2 linked regions of the Oryzias latipes genome follow. The protein of the gene in region 1 interacts with the protein of each later gene in a biochemical or structural test. Links are inferred from orthologs where the notes say so. Each region holds a gene or a part of one and is shown in the gene's direction. Other genes may lie near its edges. The genes, in order: caspase 3B and hematopoietic lineage cell-specific protein.

The links.
Region 2: of the proteins of caspase 3B (region 1) and hematopoietic lineage cell-specific protein, one has a biochemical effect on the other in vitro, tested with the Homo sapiens proteins (2 studies listed by BioGRID). The link is inferred for Oryzias latipes from reciprocal best matches to the Homo sapiens genes CASP3 and HCLS1.

What each region holds. Positions count from the first base shown.
Region 1 is NC_019859.2:19,918,947-19,923,326, reverse strand, and holds the start of caspase 3B, read left to right. Parts: upstream 1-1,465; 5' UTR 1,466-1,566; coding exon 1,567-1,625; intron 1,626-2,597; coding exon 2,598-2,737; intron 2,738-3,684; coding exon 3,685-3,813; intron 3,814-3,929; coding exon 3,930-4,105; intron 4,106-4,193; coding exon 4,194-4,302; intron 4,303-4,380. UniProt on the Homo sapiens protein: Thiol protease that acts as a major effector caspase involved in the execution phase of apoptosis. Following cleavage and activation by initiator caspases (CASP8, CASP9 and/or CASP10), mediates execution of apoptosis by catalyzing cleavage of many proteins.
Region 2 is NC_019881.2:17,764,221-17,767,375, reverse strand, and holds part of hematopoietic lineage cell-specific protein, read left to right. Parts: coding exon 1-17; intron 18-1,027; coding exon 1,028-1,097; intron 1,098-1,660; coding exon 1,661-1,809; intron 1,810-1,892; coding exon 1,893-2,012; intron 2,013-2,867; coding exon 2,868-3,018; intron 3,019-3,155. UniProt on the Homo sapiens protein: Substrate of the antigen receptor-coupled tyrosine kinase. Plays a role in antigen receptor signaling for both clonal expansion and deletion in lymphoid cells. May also be involved in the regulation of gene expression.

The sequences.
Region 1 (4,380 bases):
TGATGCAAATTGATGGAAAAACAACTGTTAAAAAAAAGTGATTAAATAACTGAGTTCCACTTATACCTGTAAACCAGCTTGGTGATTTCCTTTGAGGTTATTGATATTAAACCTGTTGAGTGATTCTTCTTCTGTAATGTGCTGCATTTGTAGATTTTAACTAAGATGTGCCTCAATTTATAGCTGTGATACAAAGTGGATTAAATGAGATAAGGTAGCACTAAAGCAGTAAAAACTACATTTTGTTTGGCAATATGTCAGGAATTTAAAGCAGACAAAAACGTTTTTGTCCTAAATGCAAGTGCACTTGTACAAATAAGTCACTAAAAATTATAAGAAATAAGCAAATTCTTAATAAAATGGTGAAAAGATGGTCTAGAAATCAATCTAGAACACCAAAACAGTTGCATTTGAGTTCCCTCGTTTAATGTAACCTTTGCTTTTGTGTGCAGCAAAAAGTTTTTCATTTTAAACGGTATTTAATTTATTCCCAAGAGTTAGAATTGACATTTTTAATCTAACATTTACAGATTTTCACCGTGCTATACGGATGTTGTGTACTTTAAGATGTTGTAAATGTTGTTTTTGTCATAGCTCCTGGTTTTACGTTTGCGATCCCAAAAATGAATGTTTTCCTTTTTTTGTGGGTAGTTAATTCATTTTCACATATTATGGACTTGCAGAGATGTCACCTTGAATTATGCAGTAACTTTCTGTTCAAAGTTAGAGCAATAAAAGTGATCAACCTTTTAATTTTAGGAACTGAAATAGTGGTATCTTTAGGAGAGTTGACTATCGTTTCAAGCATTCACTTTTTTTTCTTGTTTCTTTCAGGTTGGGTTGTCTCAAGCCTGTTTGTGGTGTTCATTTTCCCAACAAACTATCCAATTACAATTTAAAATGGTTTATTAATTTTTAAAGGGAGGCCTTGCCTTTGTAATTTAATCAGTACAGACTGTTGGAGGAGAAAGATCACCTTGTGTGTTGTGTTTGTGTGTGGTAGCAGTAGTTGAGGGTTAAAGTATTATTTGGTTTTGTTGATAATGCCCTTGTATTTACTGTGTAAATAAAACTACAGTTATTTACAAAACTAGAAGGGTGTGTGCCATCATTTATTTATGTGTAAGATGAGTGTGTTTAAAAATGTTTTCTTAAGCTTAGGTTTAAGTACACTTTATGGTGTATTGTCTCTGCATATTATCCTGGAAAATAGTATCCTGGAATCAGTTTGTTTTTGGCAAGTAAATATCGAACCTTTTCCATTTGGGCAAATTCTAAACTGTAGACATATCAAATTCTTACTCGTTTTAAAATCTAATCTTTATTTAATTGTCTTTGGGGCATAGTTCCAATAGGGGGCGCCCGTGAGCTGATGGCGCGTCTGCGCATGTCAGAACCCTTTTGTTTATTAACCAGGTCGGTTCCTTAGCTAGCTGATGCTACAAGCTGTGAGAGCAGCGTAGTGTTGTCTTGTAAAGGACACCGCTGTGTTAGTTTACTACTGCACGACACACAGGGCGGTTCATTTAATTTATTACAGTCGTTCAACTTAACTTAGAGGAAAATATGGCGTCAAATCGACCAGGAGAGGATTCTACAGACGCAAGGAAAGACAATGGAGAACTGTGAGTCAATAATGTTTCTGTCACCTCTTATTTATGGACCTCGGTGAACTTGGAAACCCATTCACGTATTCGGACTTCCGGGAACAAATTATTTCGTAAACTTTTTTTTTTTTTAATTATCTCGTAAACTATACGTTTGTTTGCCGAACAAATGAGAAAAGTGTCAGTGTGTACACAGAGGCCTTTGGTGCATTTTGTTTTTGTTTTTCCATTTTATTCAGCAGATGTTTTAGAAAATACAGGAAATGATTGAGGTGAAGTACATGATTTGTATGCATGTGTGCTTGTTTTTAGCCTCTCTATAGCACTTTTCACCGCGTGAAACAAGAACAATACAAACCAACAAATGGATAAAATAAAATAAAAGAGCTTTTTTTTTTAAAGGAGAGTGTCTTCAACAGAAAATGGAGATATCTTTGGGGGTAAAAAACGAGGCCATGATTGTTTTAGGGCTGGGGAACTCCAGGCCTTAAGTGTCCGGGGTGTCTGCATGGTTTCCAGATAGCATTGCCATGATACTCACGGCTGATCACCTGGATCAGGTGTGTCCAGCCAATTGAAGCATGACAGAGCAAAATATGTAGGGAAACATGCAGGAATCCTGCTCTGCTGTACTCTGCAACATGACAGAAGAAAAGAGACAGTTACCTCCTAAAACAAACACTTTGTTCTTGCGGTATTCTTCCCAGAACTACAGATCAGTGAATTTTTATCTGACTTTTCTTGTTGATTTTCTTTTTATTATTATTATTAATATGTCTGTAATTTATGGTGCAGTAAGTCAGTAGAAGAGGACACTTCAAACAAAAATAATTTTTTTGAAGCCTATTAGTGCCTGTTTTTAAATGTAACATTTGAAAATAACTACCGTGTCTCTTGTGGCTTTGAACCCTCCACTTGTCCTTTTGATTGTTTCCTGTTTCGATTTATATCGTTTAGGTAAAGTTGATTTTGTGTTATGTTGTGTTGCAGGGCAGCAGGGGCTTCACCTGCTCCTGATCGCATGGACGTCGATGGGAAGCCCTCCTCTCACAGCTTTAGATACAGCCTCAACTTTCCCACCATCGGCCTCTGCATCATCATTAACAACAAGAATTTTGATCGAGGAACCGGTGATCCCTGTTTTTATTTCTATTTTCCTGTACTCTGGCATGGAAAATGATTCTATATTGAAGTGGTTATCCCAGCTCCTATTATTACAGGCTAAACTGAAGACTTGTCAGAAATAGTTTAGTTATCCAAGAAAATATATTTTCACAGATGTTGAGGAAAAACATACACTGTCAGTGATAAACATTAGTCTCTCACTTCTAAAATTTTGATGGTTTTGATTGGTTTGGCCCCTTTACTTTGTAACATTTGCTAATGAAATTAAGGCAAAGCAGAAATATAATGGAACCTTGTCTACCTTAAGTGTTTCATTTTTCTCTGTGGCCTGCCAGGATGAGCATGAAGCTTTAGATTTAATGTTTAGGTTCAGCTGTTTTATAAGACTGTACAAAACTATGGTGTAGTAATTCATAAACAGTCAAAAACGGATAATGTTCTGCTTTGTTAAATAGAATGTACAAATATTAAACAAAAAATAATCTATCAGGACTACAGTTCTTAAAATAACTTATCTGAAATGCAGCAGGAACCTAGTCAGACCTGCAGTAGCACATATACAACATATATTAAGCCTAAATGTGATTTAAAAAGCATGATTTATCCAGAACATACATTAAGAGATTCAGCTTTGCTCTGTGTATTCAACTTTTCAGTGTCCAGGAAGATGTTAGACAGTTTTGTAAAACATAATCATATATTTTTTTTTGTTTTGTTACAGCCTAGTTGTGACAAAAGAGCGTCTGATTAAGGCAAAAAAGTGACTTTTAATGCACAACAAGAGCTGTGGAAATAAATTTGCACATATTAAATCACTCTAATATGAGACCACTCATATTCGACCACTGTTTGAAGGTTTTTTAAGGAAATTTGTGCGGTTCAAATTCTTTTTTGTTTTGTTACTAAACCAATTGTTGCTGACTTTTTTTTTTACACCATTTTGTTCTGTTAGGTATGAATCAGCGAAACGGTACAGACATCGATGCAGCCTCTGCAATGAAAGTGTTTTCAAAGTTGGGCTATAGAGTGAAGATTTACAATGACCAGACAGTTAAACAGATTAAACAGCTTTTGACTGATGGTTAGTATGATTCACACTCTCTTCAAAATGCTACTTTTAAACATTCCAGTGCTTATTCATATAGATATTTATAATCCTTTTGGTATATTTTATTGCTTTGGATTTATTTTTGTTAGTATCAAGGATGGACCACAGTGACTCCGCCTCTTTCGTCTGCATCCTTTTGAGTCATGGCGACGAGGGCGTTTTCTTCGGCACGGATGGTTCGATAGAACTCAAAACTCTGACGTCCCTGTTCCGAGGGGATCACTGCAAATCACTGGTGGGAAAGCCCAAACTGTTTTTCATCCAGGTACGACCAAAGCCTCTCATTTGTTGCCCACCATCATTTTCCTATCAGTCTGTGAAAATGTTTGGTTTGGGTTTGTGGACACTGAAAGGCTTGCAGAGGCACCGAACTGGATGATGGCATTGAAGCAGATTCCAAAGAAGACACCACCAAGATCCCAGTGGAAGCTGACTTCCTGTACGCATTCTCCACAGCTCCAGGTAGCATCTTAAAACAGCCTTAGTTATTAGTAGCAGTTATTGTCTTAAATATTGTAGTATTCTTATTTTACAGCATTT
Region 2 (3,155 bases), on another chromosome or scaffold:
TGGGCCGCGTGAATAAGGTCAGCATTCACTGATCATTGAACATTAAGGGGTCACTCCAGGCATCTTCTGATATGCAAGAGATTAACGCGATATAAAAAACACGCTAAAATGTCTATAACTAATTAATCGCGATTAACGTGAAAATTGGACTGCCCTAATCATGAATTTGCCGTTTTTTGCCAAAATAAAAAAAAACACCTGTGTCCATTTTTCGGACATAGTTTCTGCAGAGCGGCAGGAGTTCATTCGAAATTCACCTCTAAATTGTAGGTGGGACTGTTGCTGTGGAGTAGGCCTGCCCCCACTTCCCATAATCCATCGGTTTACACGCACTCATGCTAGCTCATTACACCCTCAACCTAACGTTATCGGTGCATCAAAATTGGCTATCCAGCCACCTTACAAGGTTCATCCAGATACCAGCTCTGAGGAGGAAAATAAAGACGGTCGCATAAAATGTGGTTATTAATGTGCATACGTCACAAATAAGCTGTATTTCAAACAGAATTGTTTTTCGTCTGCTCCTGATTCACAATAATCTGAATGAGGAAATATTTAGAAATGCCTTATTAAGCTTAATTTTCTTTATATATGTCCTCCATCGTCAGAAAAATGCTGCAAGAATATGTTAAAAATACCAAAAATAGCTATTCTCATTAATGAGTGTCTTCAAAGGACACTTTGAATTTTCTGTATTTGGTTTTGTAGTTCACTTCTCCAGGAAAGGTATGAAAGCACGTAACTCAAATCATGATCACACCTCTGCCATGCCAAACAGTGGCATAAATGTTTTTTCTTCATCCATTGTTCTTCCTTTTGTTTTAATTTAAATTAGGCTGAAGTGACACATTTTTAAAATCTCTCTGTACACATACGTGACTAGATCTTTTGCTAACATTTTATGCTGAATATTTTAGAAAAAGGCTGGATAAATAATGTAGTCATCAAACCATAAAGTTGTAATTGAGACAAAAGTAGGAACTTTGCTTTTGTTTACTCTAATCACTTTATTTCTGCTTGACTCTAGGATGCAACAGACTTCTTGAGCAAGGACTCCCCAAGTTCTGTTTATGAAAAGACCAAACCAGTTGAGGCGTGTGAGTCTGTCTCCTTAAAAGGCTGAACCGTCTATCTTACTGATTGATTGACATCCCTTTATTTTCAAGCTTCACATAAAAAAGTCATTTTACAATAAATTGCATGGAAAAAAAGTGGGTAGAAGAAAATCATATCAATTCTCCACCCAAAACTCTTCATAGATATTATGCATTCATTTCTACACATGAGAAATATAATCATTATTCACAAAATAAAAGCATCATAGTACCAAAACAATGTCACAATTGTCCACCCATTTTATTAGGCTCCTCATTTTCTAATTTATATTTTTCCAAGATTTTTAATTGCGTAACACTTTCACTCATTTTGATACTTTCCTCCGTGTTTCTCCACAACCTCACCCCACAGAAAGAAATGCATACGTTTTTGGGTTGTCCTCACAAGCTTATCATTTTTCATTTTTTGTGTAAATATTCTTCTTATCTTCCTTAAAACCTTTTTTATATATCCTGTTTTTCTTTTTTTTTTGGCTTTATATTAGAAATTATTAGCATTTTTATAATGGAGTACTTCTGTAGTGACAGTTGTCCTTTTTCTGCAGCAAGTGCAGGCGCGGGGAAGCTCAAGGCTCGCTTTGAGAGCCTGGCTAAAGTCTCAGAAGAGGAGAACAGGAGGAAAGTAGAAGAAGAAAGAGCAAGAAGGCAGGCCAGGGAAAGCCGAGAGCGAGAGGAGGTCAAACGCAAACAGGAGGTAACACCACATTTCACCAGGACTTGTTAAGCTGCTTTCTGTGCACCAAGGAGCCACTTCTGTGCCGTTTGCTTTTGGAGCAGCTCAAAGATGAGGAGGTAGAGCCCCCGCCTGTAGATAAGGCTCCAGAGTACAACGTGCCGCCAGTTGAAGCCTACTACCACACCCCAGAAAAGGAAGAAATGCCTACTCAAGAGGTGGAGGTGAGACTTGATGACAAATTCCACATGTAACAGACGTGATTAGAGAAGGATTTTCATTGGATTCAAAATTTACCTTAACTCTCTTGTTTCTACCTAAATACAAAATGTATTTTGCACATACAGTGAGTATTTATATGTTAAAGTAAACGTTGGTTCTGAAAAAAAATAAAAACAAATCATAGGAGTACTTGAAGGCACTAAAATCACAGACTTGGTTGTGTTTGCGGCCCTAAAATGGTCTGGCTAACTGTCCGGGGTATACCCTGCAATCACCCAGAAGTAGGATAGGCTCCAGCAATCCCATGACCTTGAACCGTCGAGTGTAAATGAGAACTGGACTAAGTGACCCCTCCCCTATTCCAAAAAGGAATAAAAGCCAAAATCCCATAGACTTAATAGAGAAATAACCATTCTTGCCCTTTTTTATGTTCTTGCTAATCCTGATTTTTTTTCATTATATTTTTCCTGTAGTTGAAGTTATTCAAGTTATAAACTGACCAATCAAATGCCTCAATAAAAGTAGTCAGTGCCTACTGGCCCCCCCACGTCCAATGTTGAAAACGTCTGTTTGAAAGATTTTGTGCAGCATGCTTTATATTGGTAGGGGCGTGGACTTACAATAAGATCACTCCTGATTGGCGAGGGTGGTTCCCATAGAACCGTAGGCTACAGCCCACTCGGACCAATCGCTACTTAGGTTATGGCGTCCGTATGGCGACCAAACTGTCTTCATTTCACAAGTCTTTTTCTATGAGTGATGTCACACTCGCTCGATCCAGCTCTCATTTACTGTCAATGCCCCGAACAGGAAGAAGGGGTTTAGTAGATGCATAAATGGACGAGTTCTGTTTGCAGGAAGAACAGGAATACGATGAGCCGCCAGCTTTGCCGCCACGCCCAGAGGATTTTGAAGAAGAGGCTCCGCCTCTGCCCGGAAGATCACTGGAAGAGGATGAAGGAGATTATGATGAAATTATTGAAGCTCCTCCTCTTCCTACAGTAACAGGTCAGACTCTGAAAACACCCCCCATGTTCAGCCATCCTGAAATATTTATAATTTTTGGGATAATGTAATGCTTTTAATCAGACATTATGAACCAGATTATGGTAACTACCGTATGTAAAAAAAATCAGTTAAATATA